3 linked regions of the Kluyveromyces lactis genome follow. The protein of the gene in region 2 interacts with the protein of the main gene of each other region in a pairwise test. Links are inferred from orthologs where the notes say so. Each region holds a gene or a part of one and is shown on either strand. Other genes may lie near its edges. The genes, in order: MLC1, IQG1 and BUD4.

Region 1 (9,097 bases), on a different chromosome or scaffold from region 2:
CTGGCTTCTCAGGTAGTAACACCATGCTGACAGCTTGCGCAATTGATATGTCGCGGCCTGTTTCGAAAGCCTTATTGAACTCCAAGTCAGTGTTACCTTCTTGGAATGAAACTACTTTTATGACATTCTAAAGATCGACTATATAGAAATATTAACGGGAAAGCTAAACTAAAAAAGGCTAAATCGCTTAGGGAATGATGGGATCAGGCATTTACAAAAGAAGTATGCTGTTTAACGTATAGGATGCTTCAGCTTCATTTCCATATTCGAATGTTTCATGAAGAGTCCTTTCAACTGCTCTCATATAGCATTTTTTAATCCTTGTACATTTTGACTTCAGATGTCACTTTGGAAGTTGTTATTTAAGACTAAATGAAGAAATAATGAATAGATGCTTTAGAAGATCAGTCAACTTTAGACACTATAACAAAGAATATAGACAATTGTCATATGAACTGAATGCAATGAACTAGGTAGCGTGTTTCCCATCTTCATTTAGTAGTTTAAAATACCCATTTGGAAAGGATTTCCTTCAATATCAAAATACCTATAATATTGAATTAACAAAACCTTAAAACCATTCAGGATTAATACTTGAAAGATAGCACACAGAAAGAAGAAAAAAGACCCAATTAAATTACGAAGGTGAGCGTTATGGATCAAACGGAAAAGCTACGGATTAGGCAAGAGAAACTTGCTAAGTGGAAAAAACAGAAACTGAATAATGATGTTACAGCATCTGTTTCTGTAGATGCTAAGGAAGAGAGACTGAAGAAACTAGAGGCATGGAAGAAGAAGAAGAAACAACAAGATGAACTCAAGCAAAAGGATATAAAACTTACCAGTATAAAGTCTGCGGATAGGGACAGGAACAAACGAAGGGGACAGTGTTCGAGAAAACGTCCTGCTTTTGGGGGAAGTGATAGTGAATCTGATGATGAAAATTCCACATCAACGTTATTCAAGCCGCGTAGAAACGATACAAATACTCATGTTCTGACAAAAGACAACAGCAAGGATGATTTGGATGATGGGAATGATGCATTGGATGAATATATCCACAAGCTTATCGATAAAGATTCGAATACTAACCGAGTAAGACTTATTGATAATATTTCAGAGGATGAAGATGCTAACGACAGTAGCTCAGAGAAAACGATATCTCAAGAGGAAGCTCCGGTTGATTCAGAGATATTATTCAAAAAGAAGGGTAGAAAGAAAATAAAAGCCATTGATTACTCTAAAGTTTTAAACTTAATAACATTAAATAAATGTCTTTATCGTGAACCGAACGATTTGGGATTGATGTCAGAGAAAGATGTGGAGGAACTTCGATTATCATTAGATAACATTAAAATCTCAGGGAAAGATTGTCCCAAACCTGTAACGAAATGGTCACAGCTTGGTTTGTCCTCTGAAATCATGGATCTTATCTCCAACGAACTACAGTTTGTAACCCTCACACCAATTCAATGCCAGGCAATACCGGCTATTATGTCAGGCAGAGATGTTATTGGTATCTCAAAAACTGGGTCAGGGAAAACGGTCGCTTTTCTCCTACCACTTGTTAGACAGATCAAGGCTCAGCCACCTTTAGCTCCTGATGAGACTGGTCCTATTGGTCTTATATTGACACCGACCAGAGAATTGGCCGTTCAGATACAAGAAGAGGCACTTAAATTTTGTAAAGGGTCTGGCATTTCAAGCATCTGTTGCGTGGGAGGCTCGGAGTTAAAGCAACAAATCAATGAATTGAAAAGAGGTGTTGATATCATTGTCGCAACTCCAGGGAGATTCATTGATCTTATGACATTAAATTCAGGCCATTTGTTATCTCCTACAAGAATTTCGTTTGTTGTTATGGATGAGGCAGATAGACTTTTCGACCTTGGATTTGGACCCCAAGTCAACCAAATTATGGGCTGCATCCGTCCAGACAAGCAGTGTGTTCTCTTTAGTGCTACATTTCCAAGTAAGCTCAAACATTTTGCATCGCGAACCTTAAAGAATCCTATTCAAATTACTATAAACTCTAAATCACTTATTAATGAGAACATTCAGCAGAGAGTCCAAATTTTTGATGAGGAACATGTTAAATTTGAGTTCCTACTTAAAAGGCTTTCGGATCGGTTAGCCTTGCATCGTGGTGAAGATGAAAAGACAATTATTTTCGTTGGAAGCCAGCAGCTTTGTGACCTTTTATATGACGAGCTTTTACTTAATGGCATCACCACTTTTCCTATCCATGCTGGCAAACCTTCTGCAGAACGTCTTCGCAACTTGCAAAAATTCAAAGAAACTGACAACGGAATTTTGATATGTACTGAGGTACTCTCAAGAGGTCTAAACGTGCCAGAGGTTTCTCTTGTCATTATATACAATGCGGCAAAGACCATCGCACAATACGTTCATACCGTAGGAAGAACTGGTCGTGGGACTAATAACGGCGTTGCGCTCTCCTTCGTTATGGTTGATGAACTTGCATCTGCCTATATTTTGGTGAAGTGCATGAAAGAGAACGAGTTGAGCTCTGTGCCGATGGTTGTCTATCAAAAATTGAAGGAAATGAACGACGAATTTTCGAGTGGACTAAAGACTGGAAAATACAGATTGATCCAGGGTTTTGGTGGAAAAGGTCTTGATCACTTAGACGAGCTAAACGAAGCAAAACAGTCTCAAGAATATACTGACTATGGTGTCGTTGAAAATGAAGAAGATGTGACAGAGGAAGAAAGCGGAGCAACCAAAATGGAATACACAAGAGGTAAAAGGGAAGAAGGACATTCCACAACATATTTTGCACATATAAATATTAACGACCTTCCGCAACTTGCGAGGTGGGAAGCAACGAAAACAGAGACAGTCTCGAACATCAAACAGGAGACAGGATGTAATTTTGAGAGTAAAGGTAGCTTCTACCCTGAAGGAAAAGGGCCAAAGAATGACACTGATGATCCTAAATTGTATTTGATTGTGGAAGGTGCAGAAGAAAGTGACGTAACAATGGCATTAGAACTCCTCAATACAAAGGTTAAAGAGGGAATACGAAAAGCAGCAGTGAAGGATATCCAATCAGGTAAATATCGTATGTAATTTAGTTTCAATTTCAATCATTCACCAACATGTTTCATTTCTGCGCAATTTCCATCACATGCGTTTTCCTGGATTTGGCACGCTCATGGGCTAGTTTCTGACTCAATTCACTTTTGGCGTTGGCAGCTTCAAGTTTAGCATTTCGCTGTTCAGCGGCCACTCTTGCAGCTTCTCTTGGAGATAAGGTATGGTGACTTTGCGTGACATCAATCGGTCTTCCCGTGCTCTTTTTTGATGTAGTTTTGTTATTTGATTTTGGTGCTGAACTATCAGCGGCCAACGGCACACCTTTACTAGGCTTACTACCACATAGACCCATCGGCAGTATGACTTAGCAATGGCTTCTCTTTTTTCGTTCTATCCTGTACGTTTTATATCTATGTTTGTAATAATTGTAGATATGATTCAACTTAAATTGATTTTTGTTCAGCTTTTACCTTAAAAGAGATGCACACGATCTAACTCTTAGATATTTTAAGAGAACTTTTATGTAGAACCAAGTATTGCAAAATATACAATAACTTATATATAGCTTCCCGATTGAGTTGTCAACTAAAGACGAATATGTGTTTAAATAAGCTTTCATTAGATTAATCATAAGTGGAAAAGGGTATATCTATATTATATATATTTACAGACAACATACAAAGATCGTTAGTCAATGTAGTTAAATTGATAAAATGAATGTTTGAAATTATTATTGAATATCTATCAGTGATTCAAGTGGAAATTCCTCAATGGCGGAACGTATATCGATGAGACATCCATTGTATTAACCAAACCAAGATATGGCTGTGCGACTTCGAAATTCAATGCAATACCACTGGTAATACGAGCATATTGCTTAGGATCTCTACAATAGACACCGTAACGTTTTACCAATTGGTAGTAAAGTAGAATTCTGTCATTATCTTCTTTATTGGTTTGAGTATTCAAGTGATCAGCATGTTTTGTACCGGAGGTAGGTTCATTGAAATCATCAAATGCCCCACTGGCATTAGCGGCTTCCAAAGCTGGATTATAAGAATCAGATGTAGTCATTTCATAGCTGCCGCCGTTTTTAAACTGTTCTTGGGTGTACGTTACAGTAGCATCTCTTAGAGCTGCCCAATCAGCATTGGCGATATACGTCTGGCCAATTTGATCAGCTTTTTGGATTAATTGAACCCATTTCTCACGGATGACATCATTTGGAACACTGATACTTCCCATAGCCTTCAAGATAATACGGTAGGTGACGATGGTCTTTGGAATGTGGTATAGCTCGTATGACTTTTCGATAGATTCGATAATATTTCTATCTTGCCAAACGGTACATTTAGTTAAAATGATGTTCAAGAAGGGTTCATCGATAGCTTTCATTTCGTCATACGCTGTTACCAACTCTTGAAGGTGCTGTAAACCAGCTGCTTTGTCGGTAACATAGTTTTCGAAGAAAATTGAAATGAACTTAGAGTTCAATGATGATGAGATACCATGGGAAACATCTTTACCATAATATTTGGTAGCCTTGGTCCAAACATCAACGACTTCGTTGAAATCATGGGTTTGATCCCAAATATTTTGGATTAACTGTTTCACTGAAGAAACCTGCAAGTTGATCTTGTAGGGCATGTCTTTACTCAAAGCCCTTTCGAAGAAACTCTTAGCCACATACAAATCCTTACATTCACCAATGAAGGCCAAATGAGTTCCCGTCAAAACCGCATATGGTGAAACACCAAATCCTTCCGATGTACACATCTCTTGGAAAAGGGACAAAGCATGCTCGTTTTCGTTGGCAGCAAGCGAGGTCTTAATCATACCCAAAACTAAACTAGGGCTTCCATGAGATCTAGTTGTATTACTAGCGGACTTTTCATACAATTTCTTAATTTCTTCGAAAGTGGTACCGTTTTCATATAGTAATGGTAAAACGACACCGACGACGTTTGGAAACATGAAAGATTTGACAATATCCTTGTTCTCAGAATTCACAGCTGCTTTCCAGATGTTCAAAGTTTCTTCGTAAAGCAGTAATTCTTTGAAAGAGGATAACAAATGAGCGGCACCGTGTTCACTGACTGAGACACGGTTAGCTAAAATATCACCAGAGATTTCCCTAAGCGATTCACACAAATAATTGGTCATTTCCTTGTGGAAAGATTGCGAATCATAATCTGGCTTCTTGTTCATGCTAGTCAACTGGGTTCTATTGACCTTCAAAGCAACATGCATGAGTTGAATAACCCTACTTGCACGATGGTTGTTTAAGTCTCCGGTGATGACTAACTCCCTGTAGATATTCATACTACTACTGACCGAATCCCAAAACAATGAAGATTGATCTAGGAATTTACCATCGGGGGCACGAGAGGAAGATGCTTCCAAACCTCTGGCCAAACAGTCATCCAAGGCATTAAGTTTAGAGAAAGCTGGAGAATTAGGAGAGTTTTTGAAATTATCGAATTTTATGTTTCTTCTTAGGTTGCGGACCTTTTTAACGTTACGTTCAATGATTTCATTATTTTCATACTTCTTCTTAGAGTTTCTCTTATCCGAAGACGACTTGGCTGGTGCTGCAGTTGTTGGATCCTGTTGAGGATTACGCTCTAGTGCGACAGCGCTGTTGAAACGGAACTGGGAATTTAAAGAATTTCTGGACGCAGAAACGAACTGATTTGGGACCCTACTCTTTAGGGTCTGTTGTTGGACAAGTCTAAACATGGTTTTAGACAATGGCAAAGAAGATGTTCTTTTTAACCGGAAAAAACACTAATAACGAACAGTTGATTAGCTCTGTGTATAATAATCAAAAGAATTTGTTAGTAATATGAACCAAAGACTTTTTTTATAGGTAAAAGTCTAAAATCTTGAATAGTGTTAGAGTTTAGGGAATATATATATATCCATCGCCTCTGAGGGAAACCCGAACCTATTGTAATCGGACATAGTAGTCACACATACCTTTTTTTTTACTGATGAACGAAGGAACACAATATAATGTTCAGAGTTTAAACGGTATACTGATCTGTGATATAGTACTGAGCTATAACAAAAGAAAACACAACAATGAAAATTATGTCTTAGTTAACAAAAGTGATACGACACTGAACGATAAAAAACTGTTATTGAGTATGTTAATAATCGCTTTTGTTATATAGGTCATATCAAAAAAGAAGCTTGAACACTTTTCATCGCTCGACAAGAAGACAAAAGAAAAAGTGTCATCAGATGTCAGGAACATTGGATGCTGAGGAAAAGAAACTGAACGAGGGAAGGTTGGAAATTTTCGAAATGCGATGTTGAATTGTGCGGGTAACAATATATTTGACTCACGTGATGGGTATTTAAAATCCGGGTAAATGATATCTGACTGAGTTTTAGGTCGTCCAAAAAAAGAGCTTTTGAGGCCCCAGAAACAATAATTTGTTTTCCATTTTGAAAAACGTAAACAATAAGAGTATCTTTACATTTGATATATTTACTGGAGGAAGGCATGCATTGTTCTACACATTCGAATAGATTTATATTTACCTTGGAGCTTTAAATAGTATCTACTTCTTGCTAGGCTAAGTGATACTGAATCGTGATTTAATTACGCAGTACTGTATTATTCATTGAAGAAGTGGGAAATCAATCATCATGTCCAGAATCAACAAAGATATTTTTACGCTATTTGACAAGCAAGCCAAGGGATCCATCAGTAAGGCCCAAGTTGGTGATTATTTGAGAGCAATTGGATACAATCCTACCAATGCGCTAGTGGAGGAAGTTGTCGCTTCTTCAGGTGACGAGTTGACCTTAGGTGATCTAGAAAAATTAGTTAAGGATAACGAAGAGAAGTTGGAGCAAACTACTCAAGGTAAAGTAGAGGATTTCATCAAAGCCTTTCAAGTTTTTGACAAGGATAATACTGGCAAGGTATCACCAGGTGATATTCGTTACCTATTGACCGGTCTAGGGGAAAGGTTAACTGACGAGGAAGTTGATGAATTGATGAAGGGGATCGAAATCGACTCTGACGGATTGATCGACTACAAGAAATTTGTTGAAGATGTATTGAGACAATAAGAGAGAGGATGTAATGCAACTCAAGATTACATGCATTAGTTAGTATAATACAAATATATATATAAATATAAATACCCAATCTCACACGCCAGGAGCTTTGCTCTTTTGTTCTATTCTAAGCAGTCCGATACTATTGACTTGTGACAGTTCTAGATTCAAAACCCAACGTCTTCTGGTAGGGTGAGAATTGGCATGAAGTTCCCTATTATCATCATAGGTAAACCAAAGGCGTCTCTTTTTAGCGTCCATAGACAACAACATTTAATAACGCTTCCCTTGATCGGGGTTAATAGATTACAAATTCGCATAGTTTCAGCACCTCTGAACCCCTGATATGCAACCCTAGTGAACGTTTGGAAGTACTCCATTACCGTATCACCATCCATCAATTCGACTATGAAGGTCATTTTGTTGAGTAGTTCTAGACGATTCCAGCCAGTCAATAGAGAAAACTCGTCATTCACATAACTGATCTGTCCGTTACGTCTCCATACACAAGTTGGGGTACCAACCTGAGAGATGAATTTCTCATACTCTAATAAAGTTCTCTGATGGCTCTTTTCCATAAATATCATATCTTCATCGGTGAGGTCGATAGTACTGGCAATGAAAATTGGTCGTAACTCAGCTAAGCAGCGACACATTTCCACCAATTGATTTTTGTCAAATCTTCTTTTGAGATATCGAAGCAATGCATGGAAACCAGTAGTACTTGGAAACGCTGTTTGAACCAACGAATATATTTCTGATGGTGTAGTGAACCTCAAAGTATGCGGGATCTCGGTATCGTGCGGTATCTCTCTGTATTCTGGTGGTTCCACTTCGAGTGCGTATGAAAGATTAGGTATCTTTCTTGAATCGTATATCTCTGGAAAAGTATTAGCAAAATTCAAGTAGTACTGGTTTATAGTTTTGTCAAATTTCGTCAGATGTGGGGACAAAGTCCCAATAGTCATCCGCTTGAAATCGAGCGTGCCATCTAAACTTTCTTGAGGTTGTAACGGGAAATGATTGGTATAGAGATTAAATTCCGACTGTAAAATCTCATGCGAAACAGGTCCTAAAAGATTAGAATATATTGCTCTTGTATTTCCCCTTATCTGATTCATAGGTTTGGATCGCAGCTGTAATGAAAAATGCAGATCTTGCTGACCGTTCAGAGATCCTTGGTTAATCGGGCTTGGTGTCTTCTCTGTAGGATTAGAATACAGAAAATTGACAGGAATCTTATTAAACAAAGAGTCCCCATGAATGATATCAGATAGAATAGAGTATTCCAAATCTGCTGCACTAGACAAAAATTTGGGCCTGTGAGTGATCTGACCGTTGCTCAGAGTTTGTTGCGTCTCCGGATTATTCTTACCGTTATTGGCAGGAGCAGACTGTCGGATTGTACCACCATCATAATCTAATGGTATGTTCGGCAGAATGCCAGGTTCCATTTTCAGCTTAACAGCATTTACAGGCGGTACCTGTTTAGTAGACCTTAAGACAGAAGGAAGTTGATCTTCTGGCACATCGCGCAGGTACTTGACTTTTTTCCTTGGTGCATCTATGCAAGATTCCTCCAATCCCTTCCGTATACACCTAGTACATGGACGGTTGTCATCACAAGTAACGTGGGATTTGGCACAGTGTACACAGGCCACACTGACTTTCTTATTCCTCTTGACAGACATCCGGACAATTGTCTCCAATATCAAAAAATTCGCCAGTCGGAGCTATCCAAGGAACTCAGATTTCTATAGGCCTCACACAACGGCAAAAACAAGATATAAAAACACCGTAACTGTTTCAGTATCTTACAGATGTTATATCAGCACTTGTTTATATAAAAAAAATGCTACATAGGTTGGTAACTTTGTTCTCATCCTCTCTTCTTTAGTATATATATATAAAGTTCCATTATTCCAAGCTCATCCATGCACGACTCATCGATTTTTCAGCTTTT
Region 2 (11,046 bases):
CAATCGAGTCTAATCATATCGATAGTCTAGGGTCTTTTTCGTGTGGCTACAGCTGGATTTCAAATTATAACATAGTATAATTAGTACAAATGGTTAATCAAGAGACATATGAGTTTCAAGCTGAGATCACTCAGTTGATGAGTTTGATCATCAACACTGTTTATTCTAACAAGGAGATTTTCTTGAGAGAGTTGATTTCCAATGCTTCGGATGCTTTGGATAAGATTAGATACCAATCTTTGTCAGATCCAAAGGTTTTGGAGACTGAACCAGAATTATTTATTAGAATTACTCCTAGACCAGAAGAAAAGGTGTTGGAAATCAGAGATTCTGGTATTGGTATGACCAAGGCTGAATTGATTAACAATTTGGGTACCATTGCCAAGTCAGGTACCAAGGCTTTTATGGAAGCATTGTCAGCCGGTGCAGATGTTTCTATGATTGGTCAGTTCGGTGTTGGTTTCTACTCTTTATTCTTGGTCGCTGACAGAGTTCAAGTTATCTCCAAGCACAACGACGATGAACAATACATCTGGGAATCCAACGCTGGTGGTTCTTTCACCGTTACCTTGGACGAATCCAACGAGAGAATCGGTAGAGGTACTGTGTTGAGATTGTTCTTGAAAGAAGACCAATTGGAATACTTGGAAGAAAAGAGAATTAAGGATGTTGTTAAGAAGCACTCTGAATTCGTTGCTTACCCAATTCAATTACTCGTCACCAAGGAAGTCGAAAAGGACGTTCCGGTTGCTGAAGAAGAAGAAGAAGTAAAGGAAGAGAAGAAGGAAGGAGAAGAAGAAGAAGATGACAAGAAACCAAAGTTGGAAGAAATTGACGAAGACGAAGAAAAGAAGGATGATGAACAAAAGACTAAGAAGGTCAAGGAAACTGTCAAGGAATTGGAAGAATTGAACAAGACCAAGCCTTTGTGGACCAAGAACCCATCCGAGGTCACCCAAGAAGAATACAATGCCTTCTACAAGTCTATTTCCAACGACTGGGAAGACCCATTGGCCGTGAAACATTTCTCCGTTGAAGGTCAATTGGAATTCAAGGCTATCTTGTTCGTTCCAAAGAGAGCTGCATTCGACCTGTTCGAATCCAAGAAGAAGAAGACCAACATCAAGTTGTACGTCCGTCGTGTCTTCATTACCGATGAAGCTGAAGAATTGATCCCAGAATGGTTATCCTTCGTTAAGGGTGTTGTTGACTCTGAAGATTTGCCATTGAACTTATCCAGAGAAATGTTGCAACAAAACAAGATCATGAAGGTTATCAAGAAGAACATCGTCAAGAAGATGATCGAAACTTTCAACGAAATCGCGGAAGACTCTGAACAATTCGACAAGTTCTACACCGCCTTCTCGAAGAACATCAAGTTAGGTATCCACGAAGATACTCAAAACAGAGCTGCTTTGGCTAAGTTGTTGAGATACAACTCCACCAAGTCTGTTGACGAATTGACTTCTTTGTCCGATTACGTCACCAGAATGCCAGAACACCAAAAGAACATCTACTTCATCACCGGTGAATCTATTAAGGCCGTTGAAAAATCTCCATTCTTGGATGCCTTGAAGGCCAAGAACTTCGAAGTCTTGTTCCTTGTTGACCCAATCGATGAATACGCCTTCTCTCAATTGAAGGAATTCGAAGGTAAGCAATTGGTTGACATTACCAAGGATTTCGAATTGGAAGAAACTGAAGAAGAAAAGGAACAAAGAGAAAAGGAAGTTAAGGAATTCGAACCTTTGACCACCGCTTTGAAAGAAATCTTGGGTGACCAAGTCGAAAAGGTGGTTGTCTCCCACAAGTTGTTGGATGCTCCAGCCGCTATCAGAACCGGTCAATTCGGTTGGTCCGCTAACATGGAAAGAATCATGAAGGCTCAAGCCTTGAGAGACTCTAGTATGTCTTCCTACATGGCCTCCAAGAAAATCTTCGAAATCTCTCCAAAGTCTCCAATCATTAGAGAATTGAAGAACAAGGTCGAAGAAGGTGGTGCTCAAGACAAGACTGTCAAGGACTTGACTAACTTGTTGTTCGAAACTGCATTGTTGACTTCCGGTTTCTCCTTGGAAGAACCATCTTCCTTCGCATCCAGAATCAACAGATTGATCTCCTTGGGTTTGAACATCGATGAAGATGAAGAAGTTGAAGCTGCTCCAGAAGCCGCTCCAGAAGCTCCAGCTGAAGAAGCAAACGCTGAAACTGAAATGGAGGAAGTTGATTAAGCAAACTCTTCTTTTTATCACATATTCTCATGAAAGGAATTTCAATAATCATCTCCCCCCAATCCACTACCCAATTAATAAATAGTATCAATCATCAATCAAACACCCTCCACTGATTGTGACCTCTCTCGGAACTGGCTTCTTGATGGATCTATGAGAAGATAAATCTATATTATATATATTATACATCTATATTTACACTATACAAAGTGAGTTAGTTTTCATCTGTAAATTATATCAACATAAATTTAACCAATCACATTATTATTCAAATAACTGTTATTATTACATTACATTTCCTAAAACTGTGCATTCCCTGGTAACGCACACGGTCAACCGACATGACAATACTGCATTGCATCAAAGACGATGGCAGTATAGACGCCAATATCCTCTCCTCAGAGTTTAATACGATATGCCGAGGTATGTACCTTCCCAGCAACGCTACAAAATATTAAGGTATAACTGCGGTCTTACTAACCTCTCTTAAATCTTGTGATTTGAAATCCATTCCAGAACTTGAATATCAGGTTGATACGGGCAAGGACCTTGCGAAATGTAAGGATGATCTTTCCTCGGTCTCGAAACAGTTGACTTCAGTGGCTCATAACCTTTCGTCTTTCGATCAAGAGTTATATTCAACCAAGATCGATCACTTGTCGAAAAAAATTACCATTAAGCAATTAGAGACCAGTAACAAAGACGACCGTAGAGCAAAGTGGAAAGCTAGAGGCCGTCCATCTGCTAAGACTTCAGCAGCTGTAATGGACAGTTCCCTAGAAAATTCAAAGAAACTGGATGCTGTTACCTCTCCCCAGCTCAAAGATACTACGATATATTACGACATATCTGAAAACTCTTATCGAAACCTTACGAATTGCACGCTTAAATACACAGGTACTGAACCATTGCAAGAATTTGCAACTCTGTCAATCCAGGATGTCCATAAATCAATTGTGTACTTCAACATCTTGCCGTTTAATCAGGGAAGTCTTCTTCTTGAAAGATTCGGCCACTGTAAAATAGTGATAATAACACCAAAGAACAGCAATCTTCAACTTCGGTTACATGAAATGCACAATTGCCAACTTTACATAAGGGAACAACACCCTGGCCAGATCCAAGATATCATCATCGAAGACTTCTCAGATTGTGTTTTCCACGAGGATACTGAGAAATTCGTTCATATCCATAATTTCAATCGATTAAACTTACAAAACAAGGAAACTAACGGAGGGTATACATTCGGAAACTTCCCGTACGAAATAGGTTCCCTAATCCCATGAATAGTGATGCTACAAAGAACTGTATGTGACAATAATTTAACTTCTTGAAACGTATTTCTGTCTCAGTGGTTCTCGAGTGTTTTCATTTCGATCGTATTAGGCAAAAGGTAAATATCAACAAAACTTCGATATAACTGTAGATTATAGAAACTTGAAAACATTGAATTGTTTAGTTACCGGTAGTGAACACCACTTGGAAAGGGTCATTAATTCAATCTAGCAGTACCATAATACTTATAGCAAGTTATAATTTACTTTTAACTTGAGTGTGAGTGTTTTTTACTGTTATAACGGCTTTAATCGACAAAGAGTAGTAGCAGTGAGGCTAAAACTAATATAACAAATATGTCAGTCCTGACAGGTTCTCCTGGGAAGTCGGACTCGATCAATACTAGGATGCAGGAATATATGAAAAATATTAATAAGGATTCTCAGCCGGTTCTTAAGCAAATATCTTCTTCAAGAATAAATTCGAATTCTAACTTGAAAGGAATTCTGAGCAGCACCAAAAGTCCCAAAAACACATACAGTGGTTCACCAGGAAAAGAGAATTTCAACAATGTCACAGCAGAGCTATCTTTCATCTTGAAGAATTCGCCAACAAAACCGTCTTATTTCAGTGCTTCTGGTAACAATGTAAACGGTAACAATTCTTCACCATCCAAATTGTCATCTTCAAAGGATAACGATTACCAAGAGTTTTTGGTTAGAATTGAAGAAGCCAAACAATGGATTGAGGCTATTATTCACGAAGAATTGCCATCAGCGCTGGAATTGGCTACAACAAAGTGTATGAGTGATGGTGTATATTTGGCTAAACTTGTTGCAACTGTCAAACCTGAGCTTGTAAAAAAAATTATACCTACTGGTGATAGATTGATGTATGCTCACACACAAAACATCAATGCCTTTTTAGAACTTGTCAACTATATTGCAGTCCCTGACCTTTTCAAATTTGAATTAAACGATTTGTACGATAGAAAGAACATCCCCAAAGTATTCGAAACAATACATGCAACAGCTAGTCTCTTAAGTGCTCAATACGGGACCATCATTCCGCAAATGCAGAATCTGACTGGTCAAATAGACGTTTCTATTGATGATATCAAGCTCTGTCAAAGGAAAGTTCCTGGTGTACATGCCTTTAGATCATTCAACCAATTCGGTTCCAAACCATCATCTCCTAAAAAGTCTCCACAAAAGGGATTACTGGACTCAGCAGTTCTTCAAAGTCCTGTGAAATTAAAAACTGAGCCTGAAGTTTGCATACCAGAATCTCCTAAGACGCCTACCAGATATTCTTCTGCAATCGTGCACGACATACGTCAATTCAATCCTTCGCTTTCTGAGACGAAGCCACTATCTCTTTCATATCCAACGGAGTCTAGCCCACAGCGCTTGAAATATAGTCCTGATAGGACATTCTCTTACTATTCGCCTGGTGTGTCAAGGAGATTATCCTATAGAACAGAAGACATCGGGTACTTCAACAGGAAAAGGCATCAATGGAATTATGATTTTGATTATTACGATACTTATAGGTATGGCAGCACCCAGTATTCGCCAAAACGACGTGAAAGAATGACCGAAACAGAGTTTTTGGATACTGTCACTCATTTGCAAGCATTACTTAGAGGTCTTAATACACGTTACGATGTCCATTTGAAGATAATTACGCTGAAGCATAGCAATACCAGATTTGCAGAACTGCAGGCGCTTTGTAAGGGGGCAGTCATCAGAGGACAACATCAGAACTTCGTTCAGAACCATAAGCCAAATGAAGCTTTGGTGACATTACAAGCTCGCCTTAGAGGGTCAATACAAAGGGATGTATTCGATCACTTCAGATTAAGATTAATCAAAAGGGAAAACTACATCTTGTATTTGAAAACACAATTGAAAGGTTCTGCACAGAGAAAATTGACTCAGGAAAAGCTTCGGTATAAGAGCATATATGGGGACACATTCTCTGTCCTTCAGGCAGTTATTAGAGCCAAATTACAAAGAGGAAACTTTATGTCCTACCATAATATATCGAACATAGTCTCTAGCGAAGCATCCGCGCTACAGGCTTTATCTCGTGGAAGAATCGTAAGGCTTAGGATGATGGAAGCATCAAGTGGTGATCTACAGATAAAATTACAGGCTTTACTGAGGGGTGCTTTTCAAAGAAGTAAGCTGCAAAGGGTAAAAGAAGTAATGTCATGCGATCAATTCCAAAACTTTGGGCCTATCTTGAAAGGTTATATTGTTGCAAGGAGATACACTGACGCCCCAAGTAAAGTTGCTAATGAAATTGTCAGCTTTAATGCAGTGGTAAAGGGGATGCTGACAAGGTTTGCCATGGAACTCATTATAGATATTGCCGAACAAAACAACATTGATAGTTTACAATCCAAAGTATTAGGCTATTTAATCAGAAAACGAGTAAGCCAGAAGAAGAGCTTCTACAAAATGCGTGAATCTGAGATCATCATTATACAAAAAAATATCAGAAGATATCAACTACAAAACGCATACAAAGTTTTAATGTCAACGGGCAGTCCGAAGTTAAGTACGGTTAGAAAATTCGTTCACATTCTTAATCAATCAGATAACGAACTATTCTCTGCTAACCTCCAAAAGCTCAAGGCTAATATTAATGATGTTAATGATGAAGTAGGAGAACTGCAAGAATCGTTGAGAAAGAAGGTTTTGATGAAAGATTCACTTGAAAAGAGAAGAATTGATGTGTGTAAGTTCCTCACGCCAGCTGGACGTCAACAATTAGAGATCCAATTTAACGCCATTAGCAGCGATAATATTTCAGCAAATCTTAAGTCTTTGTACGGTAAAGCAGGTTTTTTGCTACAAGTTGACTCATTTTACTGGCATCTTCTTGCCAAAGGAGATCCGAGATTTTGTGTAACTAATTTACCAAAGTTGTTTGCTCCAATCCGTGGTGCTATTGGTGACAGAGAAAACTCATTACTTATTAAGGTCATTGGAGACTTACTAGTTGAGGAGATTGATGAATCTTCAACTTTGAATGACTTTTTAGTGAACGATGATGCTGTCTGGATTCAGGTTCTTCAGAACTATTTGACCTCTTTCAGAAGCAAAGAAATACTAACCGCTTTTGCACAGCTGTACAAATATCTTGATTCTAACGCAATTGATTTTGAGAGCGATCCATCTAAGATATATGCTAAATTGCATCCTACTGCTCCACCTCAATTGGCACATGAAGCTATTGAGGACTCAAGTACCAGCAAAAGATTCATCAAAAACATGACTTCTCTATGGGGAGCTGTGGAACTAGTTTGTGCAGTATTAGATCATATTGTATCATCAACAAGAAACGATTTAAAATACCTCGCATCCAGGGCATACAGAAGCTCTGCTAATAAGGACACCGAAGAAAGTTCTGCATTATCAGCAATTTCCAAGATTGTAGTAGATAATTTCATTTTCGTTGCCTTGATGAAACGATCTGATTTCTCCTCCAGTACTGTCGGACTCAATTACGATGAAAAGGCCCGGGTTTTAACAGAAACATTAAAGGTTATATTTGCATTAAAAACTTTTGATGGTTACTTCTCTCCATTGAACCAATATCTAGTTCAATCTCACAATCAATTCTCTGACATCTTGACGGAATTACTGATGGAGCCTGAAGAGAGTAAAGAATATGAAACAATGGTCTACAAAGATATGGCAAATAATTCAAAACCATCACTTATGATTTATCATCAAAGTTTCATCAAGATTCTAGAAAAATTGGAAGGAACTCTGGAAGAATTACCACATGATGATCCTATGGTGAAGATTCTTTCGAAAATTCAGATTGAATTCGACAAAACGTCCGTCAACGGACAATCGCAACTCACCATAAGCCTGGATCCTTCCGCATACAAAGTTACTCTAAACAATTCCAGATCTGACTTGATGTATACCGAGGCAAAGCAGGGCTTGTGTTATTTGATGCAGGTTGAGGAAGTCAATTCCAATTTAACGGATCTTCTCGTTAGCGAAGTACTACCAGAGGACGAAATTGCCTTCCAACAGCTCATCGCACAGAATCCAAGCATTGCTAATACTTTATCTGAAAAGCACGGTGATATTATTAACTATGCTGAGTTCAAAAAGTTTTTGATGTATAGAATCAAAGAGCTTACTGTTCTTGGAATAATTGATAAGAGTAACGACTATCAGTTCTTATTGGTCGACATCGCTAATACTATCAAAACTAGATCATGTATTAAAGGATTGAATCGCTCTGAAATGGAGCTAATGACTTCTGTTTATGATTCGCTGAATGACAAGCTTCGTAACACGAAACTACTTCTTGATGCGATGGACACTGCTATCACAAAATCCATAAAAGAAATACAATCCTTGCATGATTACACGCCAGCCAAGAAAAGTGGGTTTGGTCACAAGCTGAAGGATGTTTATCAAAAGAACCATAAGAAGAGCCATGAGGCAGAAGCCGGTATGAACTATAAATGGAGCAACAAACAGCTTTTCGAGCTAGGCGTTTTGTCGAAAGTAACTGGAAATGGTGCTAAGAATTCATCAGTCAGCTTTTTCGGTTCCAGTGGATCAAAGTCTCAATATGTTGATCTCAAATTCTCTACTAGAGATGGTGAAGTGTTTGGAATTGAGTTGATTGACAATAAGAACAAGTTTGATTCTAATTTACAATCTGTTGTGAAGTTTAGTGAATTGATTGAAAAAGAAGCAGCTGACCGCCATTCCACGATTTCTATTCTTGGAAGAAAGGAGAAGATGGTTCTTAACGTTGGCAAATTACTAGATTTGCTTGTTGACAGTTTTTTCAGGTTTTGAATAATATTCAATGTTAGAACTTTTGTAATTATCTATTTCTGAGAACATTATAATTAGTTTATTGTGCCAAAGCTTAATCATCAAGACAATTAAAATTACTTCATTATTATTAACTTTCGTTACATCATATTACTTAAAAATACACAATTCAACTATCACTCAACAGCAGTTTCAGGAGTTGGTGAAACTTCTACAATTCTTTGGATCTCTTTTAATTCCTTCAGTCTGAGGTAAGTCATCCCTGCTTTTGCAAATTCGTATCCGACGTACAAGGCAAAACTGCAAATTAAGCTGTGTGCCATCTCACAATCATCTGGTGACGCGTAAGGATACCTGTTCAATAGCATTGAGTTTATCCTGGGGAATGCAATAAAAAGCTTTCGGCCCAAATATTTACACAAAAATGGCCAAGCTAGTGCAGCAAGGAGGGCATCGTACCACTGCGGTTTTATTATAACATCTGAATATTCAAGACCTTCTTGGAATAGATTGAAAACAGTGGGTTTGGTGACACTCTTTTGAGCCACCTGCGTTGATAGGAAATATGGATTATATTTTTGTATCCAATTGCCGTAAATCTGATTTAATGCTGGTCTAATCAAGAGATTATAAACTCCGATTAGCATACCGTGAAGCTTTATGGAATCACCCAGGAGTTTATGAGTTCCGCAGTTCTTGAGGAAGAAATATGGGAACACTATTCGCAACAATAGAGGTATTGTACCATTAGCTTTAAAAGTGAAAAGGTATAGAGGGAATCCGATAATTTGAAGCTGTTTTTCGGTCGAGATTGAAAGCATGCCCTTTAAAGTTTCTGCATACACATCTAACGCTTTAGTATTGGATATATTTAGAATCTTTCTTAGCAGTTCTTCTGAAAACAGAGTGCGTAGTTGCCAAAGCCCAACTTTGAATAGACACTTCACCGGATTGAAGACATAACTGTGTAAAGTAAGTACAGTAGCAGAATATCTTGTTACTTTTCGACAAAAGGAAAACAATCTCAAGGGCCAAGCCGGTGATCTGTACTGTAACGCTGATGTATTTTTTAACATCTTTTGTTTACATTGTGGGCATGGTGGTATGTCTTCTGGAAGTCCTCTCCATAGTTCGTCATACGAGAAAGAAGTATCTGGAGCATTTAGATGGGCTAGGGCCCTGATCAAAAGATCACCAACACAAATAAAACTGGCCCATGTTTGACCCACTAACGGTATCTCCTGCACAGTTTCAGCAAACCCAATTACTCTCCCCATGTCCCTATGGCTATCAATGAGGTAGCATAGTCTTCGAGATATTTCCTGTGATGAATTAATCTTGTATGTATCATAAGTATAGTAACTCCCTAGCTTCGACTTATTTAGATCGAATATCCATCCTATTAGACATTTTCTGTGTACCTGTAAGTTACAACCGCATTGGTGTACGATCCAGTCGTCGTTCTCACACTCCGTATCTAAACACACCCAACAAACGTACTGCTTGTGAAATAGATCATCAATACAACTTCGGAGTGTCATCCTAAAACTGCCTAGGATAAGAGTAAATGTTGTCCTTAATTAAACACCACTGATAAAGCTCTAATATACGATTTATTGCCTGGCTCTATTGCCTGAGTAACCTGTATTTCTTCCATCTTTTTAGGGTGAATGTTATATAGATAAAGTTTCAATTTCTGAAGTCTTTCCTCATGAAAAGTTCATTATAAGCACGATTAAATGAAGGAAGATACCATGAATAAAACTCACTTTTGGTTACCTCCTCCTCCATCAGCGTTACTGTTGTTGCTCCAGTTCTGAACCGATGTCATGAACTAGGCTCCCTTCGGTAATTATCTCCAAGCTATCTTATCTTGATGTTGGGACGGTATATATTTTACAAAAATACTAACTATGTTGACTATAATCGTCTTGGATGGGAGTTGTGGTATAATTAACCTCTGAAAAGACCGAATAAACCTTTCTTGGATGGTGCTTTCGATTCCTTGACGGGTTCATCGTCTTGGTTTGCCTCAGCAGTAGTTGAAGATACCGACTCTTCTGTAACAGAGGTAGAATCTGGTATGTTGAAGTAGTTGTAAGCCAAGTCGTAGAGGAAAGGTTTTGGAGGAATTGGAAGAAGTCTTGGTGCGAGTGGGTACAAGTTATCCAAGGATACGTCACTTGGTCTCACTTTGCTTTCCAAAATCTCGACTAGAGATGGTTCGAATTGACGGGTTTTCTTGTTCTTTTCCATAGATTTCTTGTGCTCTGCCAGGGCAACAACAGATCTCCATCCGGTAGTGATGTATTTCTTCAAGTCTGTGATCTTCCCCTTCGAGAGTAGCTGGGATGGTAGATAGATTTCATCCCAGTTTATCAGGGATTCTTCGGCGTTTTCAATTCTTTGTAAGCAGTCGACATATAGGGCGAGTGATTCCACGTATTTCTTCTTCGATTGATATATGTTTGCTAGCAGTTTGGAAGTGAAACAAGTTTCATAGTAAGTCTTCAAGAGGAACACTTGGTTTGTTAGGTCGCTGTCTGAGTAAACACCCGGTAGATCCATAATCTGACTTAACAAACTCTTTAAGTTCTTGATAATATGGTCCACTTCTTTGTACTTGTTTAACTTGCTCGTAAAAGACTTATTGTCAAATCTTTCCCATTGCTTCAAAAGACTCTCGAACAAGCTGCTGTCTCTTTCTACACCGGTTACCA
Region 3 (11,047 bases), on a different chromosome or scaffold from region 2:
AGATTGGGATTGTTGAGGTAACTGAGCTTGGACCTGAGAAGATTGGATGGGTTGCTGTTGAGATTGTGCGTTCGAGGAGGCTCTTGGTCTAGAAGATGCCGACCTGACACTGTTGACGGAAACAGTCCTCATATGTTGAGGATGGTCATTACCAAAAACATGGGAAATACTCATTCTTGGCTTGGTTTGAGCGGTAGATGGTTGATTGTTTATTGCATTCAAGCCCACTTCTTCCAAGAGTCTGCGATGCTGTGTGATATTAGATTCTGTGGTCAAAATGTAGCGAACTTGTTCGATAACATGGTGTCTAACGTCTCCTTCCAACATAGGAATAGACAAAACTTTATAAACAAAAGATGGTCCATAATTCGTGTCACTCAACAACTGATATAAGAGCTGAGGTGGTTTAGAAGATATTTCGTTATCCATAGGGCCGAAGATAGTATCTAATATAGCCCTTTTGGCAACTTCATCACCACGATAGTTCAAGATTTTCAAAATTGTTAATGAGGCAAGCTTATGACACCCTAATTCGAAAATATTTGGTAATAATGCCTCAGCAAGTATTGAGTGTCTTTTTGGCAAAGTACAAGTGTCTAAGAACCACGTAACCAAAAGGGCCCCATTGCTATTGGTGGCTAAATATTTCACAAAAAACACAATCATAGCACTAAGTAATAAGAGTTGTTCTTGAGTAATTATGTCATGGGCTTCCAAACAAGCTCTGACTGCACGAGCTCCATATCTATTTTGCACGATATTCCAGAAGTTGGAAACAATATTCTCGAAGATAAAGTTGTTCCAAGGGAAACCAAACTTCAACACACATTGAATAACGTAGTTACCAAATTGATCGTTGAACAATGGGGTACAATACTTATAGACTCCGTTTGCCACATACATTTTTTGTCTTGGGGTATCTGCGTTTGTAATCATCTTTTGACATGCCCAAGTACCATTCTTGTGTACACCCATCGATGTCAAATATACGCTTGTCTTTCTTAACATAATATCTTTAATGACGGAAGAGGCATGTTCAAATAGTTTCTGTACTATAGTATTACCTAAATAGTCCGAACTCAGTTCTGGTATTTCATCCAACATAGCTAGAACTAGCTGTTCAATTTCCAAATCTGACATTTGTCCAGAATCAATACTTTTTCGTAATTCACGAAGCCTTGGGGCATCGAACTCCCTTGTAGATAAGGGCTCAGGTAATGGACCGAAATCAGTAGTATCACTTGTTCCATTGTATTCAATTGCGTTTGCAATGATATGCTGGTACTGAGATGTATCATAATTGATACCAAACTTATTAATAGTATCGTTCAACAAAGTGATATTCTCCTTGAAAGATGGTGGTGGTAGTGGGAATGGACATTGTTCCTTCTCAGAATTACTTGAGGATGGATTGGTAGGTGACACAAATGCTTGAGAGCTCGATTGTGCGTGCGTATTGCCAGTAAAAGAAGGAACGGATACGTTACCTTGCTGTTGGAATTGGACTGCGCCTGAGAATAACTGTTCTTGTAGCAGGGACTGAGGGTTGATGGCAGTAGATTGATGGTTATTTTGCTGTTGAGTTTGCTGAGTCTGAGGTAGTTGTTGATGCATAGGTAAGACTTTTGCAAAGGAAACAGTACTTGGAGCACCGACTAGAGATACTTCTTTACCATTCAAAGCCTCTTTTGCCTTGATGGCAGCTTCCACAGAGGCAAATTCAACAATTGCCATATTAACGCCCCTCAAGGTCCGTGCTGAAATGACAGTTCCAAATTTCAAGCACAACGTTGCCAAACTTGTACTCGTCAAATTGACAGTATTGGACAAATGAGGCTGCTGCTGTTGCAATGAAAAGACATTAGAGATGGATATGGTATTAGTTGGTAATAAGTTTGAAATGTGGTTGATCGATGGTACTGATGGATCAGTTGTCACCCAATTGATCGATCTGGAATCCATGTCATCTTGAACAATTGGGTTGGTAGAAGCAGCAGTGGCTTTTAGTTGTGGATCCATAGAAGGTGGTATAATGAAAGTAGAAGCCCTAGATCTAGTATCCATCTGGTCGTAGGTTGGAGCGTCGGTATAGATACTGGACGCATTTGATTGAGACCTAGGTCTCGAATTCCAAACCCCTCCAATTTGTTGAGATTGGAACTGATGGGCACCAGCTGTTGTTGCTCCAGGTACACCCAAGTTATTAATGTTATTAGAACTTGTGTTCAGATCGAAATAGTTACCAGTTGCCTCATAAGGACTATACGTACCTGGTGCTAAATGGCTGTTGTTATTATTATTATTATTATTGACATTAGTTGGATTAGTAGTTGTTTGAATGCCAGGAGGAGACATTGGATTCACACTCATATCGTTAGGGAACCAAACATTGCCGACATTTGGGACCAACCCGTTGACGTTAGAAGGGCCAGTAATTTGAGATGAAACGGTATTGTTCCTAGTTCTGGAAATGGTATTTGATGCAGTTGGTTGAAGCGGGACGCTGTTTGTGGCAAAAGTGAACGAATCACCGGAAAGCCTTGGTTGTGATGGGACCAAAAGACTTGAACTATCCGGAAGATGAATAGCTTGATTGTAATCTACGTCAAGTGGCGGGGTGATATGTCCAGGCACTGACAAATTAATCTGAGCTATAGAACCCGACTTCGAAGTCTGTTCACTGGTATTTGCAGTCGCATCATCCGAGCTTAACTCACCAGAATGGTTACCTTCTCCCACGGCACTACTACCCTTTGAACCCTTCTTATTATGATGCAATTTCGCACTGATACTAGGTAAAAGATTCGATAGCGTGTTGGAGAATTTCCCTGCCTTGGATCTATAAGAACCTAGCTTCTGTGGCTGGATTGGTAGCTGGTCTATATTATTGCCACCACTTAAGGTGAAATCATCTTCGTATATGGGAATTGTCACTCCTGGATCGATAACTTCCGGAATGTTGGACAATCCTGACATAGAATCGCCGGAAGCTTTCCTCTTCTCCATAACGTGAATTGGATATTTGCGAGAAGCCGGGAAAAAAACCTATTTGCTATTTTTGACCTGTTCCTTGGAAAGTTAGCTTTAGCTCTGATTGATAAGTTTTATATCTCGGTTTTCTAAACACACTAGAGTCGGGTCAATGAAAGTAAGAGCCAATTATTAGATAAAAGTATATCTTTGTCTTCTGAATCGACTACACTAGAATCTCACAGTGAATATACCCTTTTGACTAACTCGGTGAGTGACTGGTTTGGGTTTTTTTAGCAAAACAACTCAATTCTTCTCTAAAGTTTAAATTGGTTCAAATCAAATCAAATCAGCTCTCAATATTTAAAAATGCCTTCTTTATATTTCAATATAGTATGACAATGATGAAATATTAACAAAGTTAGAAAAAACACTAGAACAAATATACTACCATAGCCAGGTAGAATAAAAGGAAGATGAATGAAAAGGGGATCGGATTTTGAAATTTTCTCGATTATTGGAAAACGCCGAACAGAATAAAATAAAGGAAATAGAAGAACGCCGAATGACAGCAAGGCAGTAAGCTAGAAAATCCTGTCAGTTAGGATATTGCTAATGTACTGGCCACAGTACACTGTTTTTTTTATATATAGTACATATGTTTGAAAACCCAGGAACTTTTCAGTATTAACGACGCAGCACAAATTTAGCGCGCATTATGCCCCTATTATGGTGATCTTCAGCTCTTCTCGTATATAGAGAAAAAATGATGATTTACCAGGACAATAAATGATCCAATTCGAATCACACTCTGAGTATTTAGAATTAGAGCCAGTGAAAATAATACGCAAGTATGCCTCTGCGAAGAAGCTTGGTGATTGAAGCTCAAGGTTTATATTTCCTTGGTACTTGTCTTTGCACGCCCTTTCTTTGATTATCTCTGCCAGCGAATGGAAAAGTAATTAATTGTCAGGAACTATGATTATCCGGGTAAGAGCTCGGCACGTGAGTTTCCTCGGATATGAGGCGGAGGTCGGTGGCTGGAGAAAAGAATAAAATATTAATAGAATGAATTTACTTACCCGGAATTACTGCTAGTTGAAAATTTGAAATCACGTGAATACTTATGTAATTATGATCTCGTTTTCCTTTGCCAATTCTGTGTTTTTTTTGGTTTTTCCTCTAATTTGATGTTTACGTATTTCCTAATTCAGATATTGTCAACAAACACTAGGTGATTGACAGGGAAATTTAACATACCCCATCAACAATGGTTTCCATTGTTTACTTGTTTGCCCATTGAATATGTTCATCAACTATAATATATTGTTGTATTTTGTAGGGTTTACATCTTTCATTTCTTTGTTTATACTAGATCTCATTTTTTTTTTGAAGGGAATTGTTTTAACGATTAAATCAGTGATCTTAACTCTCATCACATCTTTGAAGTGGTAATATTCCATTTTATTCGTCGTCAATTTAAGTCCCTTAGTCGAATATACCTGAGCATCTTGGGCAATGCAAATGGAAGACAAAGGCGAGGCACTTAATCCTGATGCAATGTATTCTCTTTTGAAGGAGATTGACCAAGAGATTTCTCACACCGACAATATCAGCATTGATCAACTCCCAGAAGAGGATACCTTGGACAATGAAAAGAAAATTGACGCCAGTGAGAATGTCATTGAAAATACAGAGGAGGAGGCTCTCCAGTTGGGTGACGAGAGTGCAAATACAACTACCGAAATTAAAGAAACATCTTGCACAGAGGACCACGATACTGTCGAAAACACAGAAGATGTCATAAGTATGGCAGAAGGACTCGATAAAGCACCTCTAGAGACTGCTTGGATCAAACACAACTATCAGCAGACTAAACCTGTGGTTTCAAAAAGATTAATCTCAAATGATGGATCAGACACTTCTGTTGAAGATATTAATGCAAGTACCAGAATTCCTTCTTATACTTCCGAAGAAATAACTGGCCTAGAGTTGAAGGATAAGATGGTCACCGATGTAGGTGAAAGATTATCTCATTTCCTAGATCAGAAATATGCTGAGAATCCAAATTTGCCTGCATTGAAAGGAATGCTCTCAATGGCCGATGAAAAAGCCATGGAAGATGACCCAAAAAAGGATAAACCATTGGTGTTCACAATTGAGCCAACTAAACCACTTTTTCCTTCGAAGGAAGTATCTTCAACCATGATTCAAGTCGAAATTCACACTCCTGATGAAGATGATGTTGATGGTGCGGCAGCAGACACCAAAGAAGCAACCAATCTCCTGCTTGATTCTAAGATCCCAGTCACTCCTAACGTCTGCATCAACAGATTCGTAAATAATAACGGGGAAACAAGGGTTTCATCTGGCTCATCGACAGAAGATGCACAAGAACTTAATACGCACAGATTTCAGGACCGGTATCATCTTCTCAGCGGTGCCCAAGCAGTTCCACAACTCCCTCAGTTGCCTGCTTTAACATTGCAGGATTATAAGTCATCAAGTGTTCAAAGCGTTAACGCTTCAAGAATATTTAGTGTTGCAACTACAAATGACAACTACCAGTCGGCAAAAGAATATGATTTGTCCTCAACTGTTGGATGTGAAGAACTCTCTGATGACGCATCAGTAAAGGACTTAGAGATCCCGGAACCGAATGAGTTGCCTTGCTTTCCGACTTTTCAACTGGACTCTACTTCCATGAAGACATCCAGTTCTATGGAAACGGTACAGCATGATAAAGCAAAGTTCAACTCAGACGTCAATATCGCGGATGATACTATGGAACAAATAGAACAAGAGGAGGCAGAATTGATTTCTAACCCGGAGAGAAGTGGAAGTCCTACAAATGATAATATGTCTCAACATAGCCAGAATAGACAGTTGCTGGGCGTATCAGAGGTGTCACAGGCACAACAGGCACCAGAGCACCATGTAGAAATGTCAGTTGAGTTTCAAGACGAAGGAAGAAGGGATATAACCAGTAGCTTCTCGAGAGAAAGTGATCGAATCGAGCTACCACCTTTGCCTCCTATGAATGGACTTTCGACAATGTTTGACCAGGATTTATTCAATGACCATGAGACCTCGCACGAGTCAATTGATTTAACTTCGTCGTCCCACAAGGAGAATTATCTGTCAATTTGGCACTCACAGAAAACAGGGGGCAGTTTTATATCTCCAGCATTGAGCACCAATTCTCAATTTAGTACTCAATCACGTACATCATCAGTGCCGACAAATCATAGCGGAAGTTCATTTAAATTCAAATCGAGAATCATTTCGAATTCTCATGTATTCAAGCAAGAAGCATTTAGACAATTCAGTGATGAGTATGTCCTCAGCACACAAGATGATAGTAAGTTGGATCCGCTAAGAAGAAATACTATCATGTCCAAGCGTATCCAGCAAGAACTCAAGACACAAGCTAAAATGTATCCATTTGCTAATAAATTTGCTTTGGATGAAAGTTCGGAACCAAGTATACACAACGAATCAATTATTACTGGGGACATTTCGAGAACAAGTGACAAGGCGGTTGACACTACAAACATTTTATCCCATAAGAATTTGACACTTTTGCCGCCGCAATCAACTGAAACTGTATTTTCGTCCTTTTTAGACAATTTTGATAAAGACGACTTTGAAGAGAAGTTGGCAGAAGAATCTCGATTGAACTCAAAGAAGAATCTTCAAACTACTTGGGGTCATTTCCGAGACGTCAGTTCTGGTAATGTAGATATTAAGGCAACTCAGCAACAGATTGCTGAAGTTCTTCACAATCAAAACGAAGATGTCGTTCAAGTGGGGTCGCATATTCAAGATGTTAAGGTGTTACTCGGGAATGAAATTGAGGGATACGATGTTCAAAAATCAGTATCGGATCTGTCAGTAGAGACCACAAAAAAATCGCCAATTAAGCACGTAGGATCACCCTTCAAAGTGAAAGCTCGATCTGAAACACCACCTCAATCGCCCGTAGTCTACGAAAGGGATACTACAGAAGTAAATGAAGGACTGCAGCGAGCTCCGACGACATCATTAGCTTCTGTTTATCTAGAAAACTCCCTTCAAGAATTTGAATCCTCGGAGCTTCAAGATCATGGCAAACTATACTTGAAACTAAAGAGTATCAATTCGCTTCGTTTACAACAAATTAAACGCCATAATGCAAAGTATTGCATAGAGTTTGATAATGGAAAAGAGGTTATTGAAACACCGTGGGAATCCATTCCGGAAGATGGTCCTATTAAAATGAGTCAGGAATTTGAAGTAAACATGGAATCAAATAACGTCACTTTATTCATGACTATGAAAATTCGATACACAAGCCCTCAAAATCAACTAACTGAGGTTGTAGAGAAGATTCCTATCAAGAAACGATTTGCGTTCGGCAAAACAAAGTATAGGCTTGAGAAAAGGTTTGTTACTAAGAAATTGAAATATGACGATTGGGACTTCAAATTCGCAAAGGATGGTTCATTTGCACGCTGCCAGGTAAATGTCAATAAAAATATGCTGAAACAAATCAAATACAAAACAAATGAGCTACACTTTGAATTCCTCAATGAATGGGAGCGCGAATTTGATGAGAAAATCGCACAAACATATAAAGAAGACGAATTATGGAAACTTCCTCGGAAAAATCCATCTAAGGTTTGCTCTCTTACAGTTGATGTGATGTATCTTCCAAGAACTTCGTCCATGGAAAGATTCCCAAAGAATCTGAAGGCAGTTCAGAAGTGTTGCGAGAAGTATCTTGAACAGCAAAGGGTCAATAATGAAGGATTCCTGTGGCAAGAAGGCGGTGATGTAGAGGGAATGTTGAAAAGAAGATATATGATTTTGAAAGGCACTGAACTTATAGCTCATGACGAAGTTACCAGAAAACCACAAACTTTGTTGAATCTTCTAAACGTAGTAGATATATACTCTGATGGTAAAACGGCAACTGGAAAACAAATGAGAAACTTTACTGATATGGTACTTTTCAGCGATTGCTTCAAACTCCTTTTTGCAAATGATGAAGTTATAAATTTTAACGCTGATTCTAATCTTTTAAAACAACAATGGGTTGAAATTTTGACCAGCGTTGTTGAACTGAATAAATTCCATCAACCATGGATCAAAAGAGTTTTTGAAAACGAACAATACAACATTACTTTTTAAACTGTTATAGTATTCAGATATATAGTTTGTCTTTGCCATTTTTTTTGAAGTATAGTATATTAATGTCATTTCTCTAATTATAACAAATGTCAACATGAGGTCTTTAAAACTAAGCTGTGTTACAATTCCATCAAGGAATCGAAAATACATGTACATGTCCGCTATATATCATTAATGTTGCTTGCAATCAATACGAGCCTCAAGCACTAAATTTCATTTCTTGTCGTTGAGATTATTATTGTTGTTGTTGTTAATGTTGTTCATGTTGTTCATGTTGTTCATGTTGTTCATGTTGTTCATGCTTGATACATTTTGATTTTGCATGTTATTCATCATACCCGGAAATGGAAATCCTGGGAAACCACCAAACATGGGGGGAAGTCCCATAGGCGGAGGAGGAGGTTGGATTGTATTCTGTACAGGTTGTCCTGAACCTGGATCATTTAACTTTCCTTGCTGCTGTAAAGCTAGGAGGTTCATCAAAATCTTTTGTGGGTTGTATTCTTTCGTCAAATGTTCTTGTCTATGTAAATATTCCATCCAAGTCTGTTCATTAAATCCATAATTGAAATAATCTGAAATATTCGCTCCTGGTTGTCTCCAGGGCTTCTCCTTTAGAATTTCTGGATCGATCTGTACTATAGGTTTCCCATCGAATTGTGCATCCGGGTTCAAATCAATAGTTTGTTGTTGCTGCTGCTGCTGTTCAGGTGGTATTGAACCCTCCTGTACAGGAACCACGTCCGATATACCAGCCACTGCTGCAATAGCATGATCCGCTGTACCAAGAGGCGTTGTGTCTGTTATAGCAGATATCTGGGACTTACCAGAATCTATCTTAGAGGTATCGTTACCAGTTCCGATGATAATCTCAACATCTGAATCTGAGTCACTGCTGTCATCCTCATCTGATGAACTATCCTGATTGGAGGCCTCACTCTCTACCTCATTCGTATTACCTTCCGGTACATCATGAGCTAGTATCTTGGGTGTTTCTTCGACCTTTTGTCTTTTCAATGCAGGACCCTCTTGCTTTGCGACTACGTTAGAATCCTCCTCATCGCTGTATAGAAACTTATCGTCTTCATCCTCACTGCTCATAACGATTCGTTTCTATATGTCGTTCGTGGACTGGTAGAAGATTTATCAATAAATGCTTGGAAAGTTTGGAAGGCTGCGCAACCCAAAAGGTATCTTAACAGGAAGATAGTTCTTCTTCTCATATAGAAATCAACTAATAGTTAACTCTCAATGCTAAGATTTACCAAAATGATGCTGTTAAATCGACGCATATCCGGGTAAATTATTGTCGTATTCAATGACAAACATTTCTAATGAATATCTGTCACCGGACAGCGGACAGCGACTCAGCTTGTTTGGACGGAATGTATAATATGGGTTAAATGTGTAGCTAATGAGAATACATGATTTACAGAAGAATTAGATGTGCATGTTGCGGACAGTATCGATTTCCGATGTTAACGAACTTGAAAGAATATGCGATGGTAAGAATTAAAGATATGGAAAAGTAACAAGGGAAACCAAAGAAAAAAGTGCATCTTATTGACGAAGCATAATACTTTGTCCTGTTTTTTCAGAGTAAAAGTGTGAATTAATTAAAAAAATTGACAGAAAACAACAGAGGAAACAAACATTACAGGCGAGTGAGTGTCTTTAATGTGTTGAAAAGAGTCAGACATTGTTGAGAATGAATGTTCAAAAAAGTCGATTGTAAACTGCAATTGAGAAGTGAATGTTCTTTTTTGAAGTGTTTATGGGACCTGTAAGGTTGACTAAACATGGTCACCTTGTGTCCGCACCCACAGAAACAAAGTAAAAAAAAAAATGGAAGGTAATTTGAAATGAAGTAGAGAATTAGAAAGGAATGAATGTAAGAAATATGATGAAGAAGGAAAAAAATATGCAGGTGTATCATACAGGCAGTCTATAGCAAAGGGGGAAAAATAATATCTGGATAAAAGGATGAGGATTGTTCCATCAAAAATACGTCTTGGAGAACTTGTAATCAATTTCTTGGAATCTAATCTTATCGAAATAATCCAAATCGTTAGAATCAGCCAAGAAATACCCAAAATAAGGTAGTAACTTGTTAGTTAGCGTGTAAACAAACTGATCCTTTTCCGAAACGACCGAATCTTTCTTTGAAGATGAAGAGGAGAACATGATGGGTGCCACCAATGCACGTTGCTGTTTTTTCTTCACTGGAGCCATGCACTGCAAGTCATTGTCCAAATCTTGCTCGTCTTCTTCCAGTAACACGTTGATACTTCTTGTAGAAGAGAAAACAGAACTGTGTCTTGTGTCAGCCAGTGAAGGTGGTGTAGAAGAAGAACAAATAATTCTCTGTTCATCTTCTTCTTCAAAACTCGTCTGTAAAAATTTCAAATTGTGAACGTGAATCAAATGGACAGGCTGAGTATGGATCATCGACGGCATATGGATGGACCTTGGCTGTAAATCGTGTCGACTGATAACATGCTTCTCATGAAAATCAAGGCTTACATCATCTTCGAGATCAGAAAGTGCCAATTCACCATGCCATTCCATGTTAACTCCACATTCTTGCAGGTCGTCCAGTTTCAAATAGCTAGAAATATCCAGCTCGCAGTGCATTGTATTGGGTAAAGTATATTAAGCTTCTATGGTAACCAGTTAGTATTTCACTATCAGTTTTTTTTTATGCACGGTAATGAGGCAACCGATAGAAAAAGAAAGACAGACAAGAATATGTCAAAAGCCTCAAAAACGATAGACCTATATATAAGCTTGGTAGATAGCATTCCACTTCAAACTGCATATACTAAAGTTAGATAAAACTAGATTTATCCTAAAATAATTCCCAAATTAACCCTAAATCATGTCATATCGTATCATGCCCAGTTAC

Evidence for each region.
Region 1: the proteins of IQG1 (region 2) and MLC1 interact in binary tests that used the Saccharomyces cerevisiae proteins (3 or more experiments, as listed by UniProt). The link is inferred for Kluyveromyces lactis from reciprocal best matches to the Saccharomyces cerevisiae genes IQG1 and MLC1.
Region 3: the proteins of IQG1 (region 2) and BUD4 interact in binary tests that used the Saccharomyces cerevisiae proteins (3 or more experiments, as listed by UniProt). The link is inferred for Kluyveromyces lactis from reciprocal best matches to the Saccharomyces cerevisiae genes IQG1 and BUD4.

What each region holds. Positions count from the first base shown.
Region 1 is NC_006042.1:960,732-969,828, reverse strand, and holds MLC1 (Mlc1p), read left to right. Parts: upstream 1-6,717; coding exon 6,718-7,146; downstream 7,147-9,097. Other genes in the region: ABD1 (mRNA (guanine-N7)-methyltransferase), read right to left, coding at 1-25; DEAD-box RNA helicase PRP5, read left to right, coding at 655-3,093; KLLA0_F10483g (uncharacterized protein), read right to left, coding at 3,128-3,412; KLLA0_F10461g (uncharacterized protein), read right to left, coding at 3,805-5,799; ERT1 (Ert1p), read right to left, coding at 7,302-8,825. UniProt on the Saccharomyces cerevisiae protein: Essential light chain for the class II conventional myosin MYO1. Also acts as light chain for the class V unconventional myosin MYO2 and for IQG1.
Region 2 is NC_006040.1:1,098,772-1,109,817, reverse strand, and holds IQG1 (Iqg1p), read left to right. Parts: upstream 1-3,862; coding exon 3,863-8,347; downstream 8,348-11,046. Other genes in the region: Hsp90 family chaperone HSP82, read left to right, coding at 90-2,231; GTPase-activating protein CIN2, read left to right, coding at 2,573-2,654, 2,748-3,517; KLLA0_D12892g (uncharacterized protein), read right to left, coding at 8,503-9,867; signal recognition particle subunit SRP68, read right to left, coding at 10,280-11,046. UniProt on the Saccharomyces cerevisiae protein: Required for the assembly and the contraction of the actomyosin ring at the bud neck during cytokinesis.
Region 3 is NC_006041.1:533,951-544,997, reverse strand, and holds BUD4 (Bud4p), read left to right. Parts: upstream 1-4,488; coding exon 4,489-8,142; downstream 8,143-11,047. Other genes in the region: JSN1 (Jsn1p), read right to left, coding at 1-3,006; cleavage polyadenylation factor subunit FIP1, read right to left, coding at 8,356-9,243; transcription factor IME1, read right to left, coding at 10,141-10,776. UniProt on the Saccharomyces cerevisiae protein: Required for establishment of the axial budding pattern in haploid cells.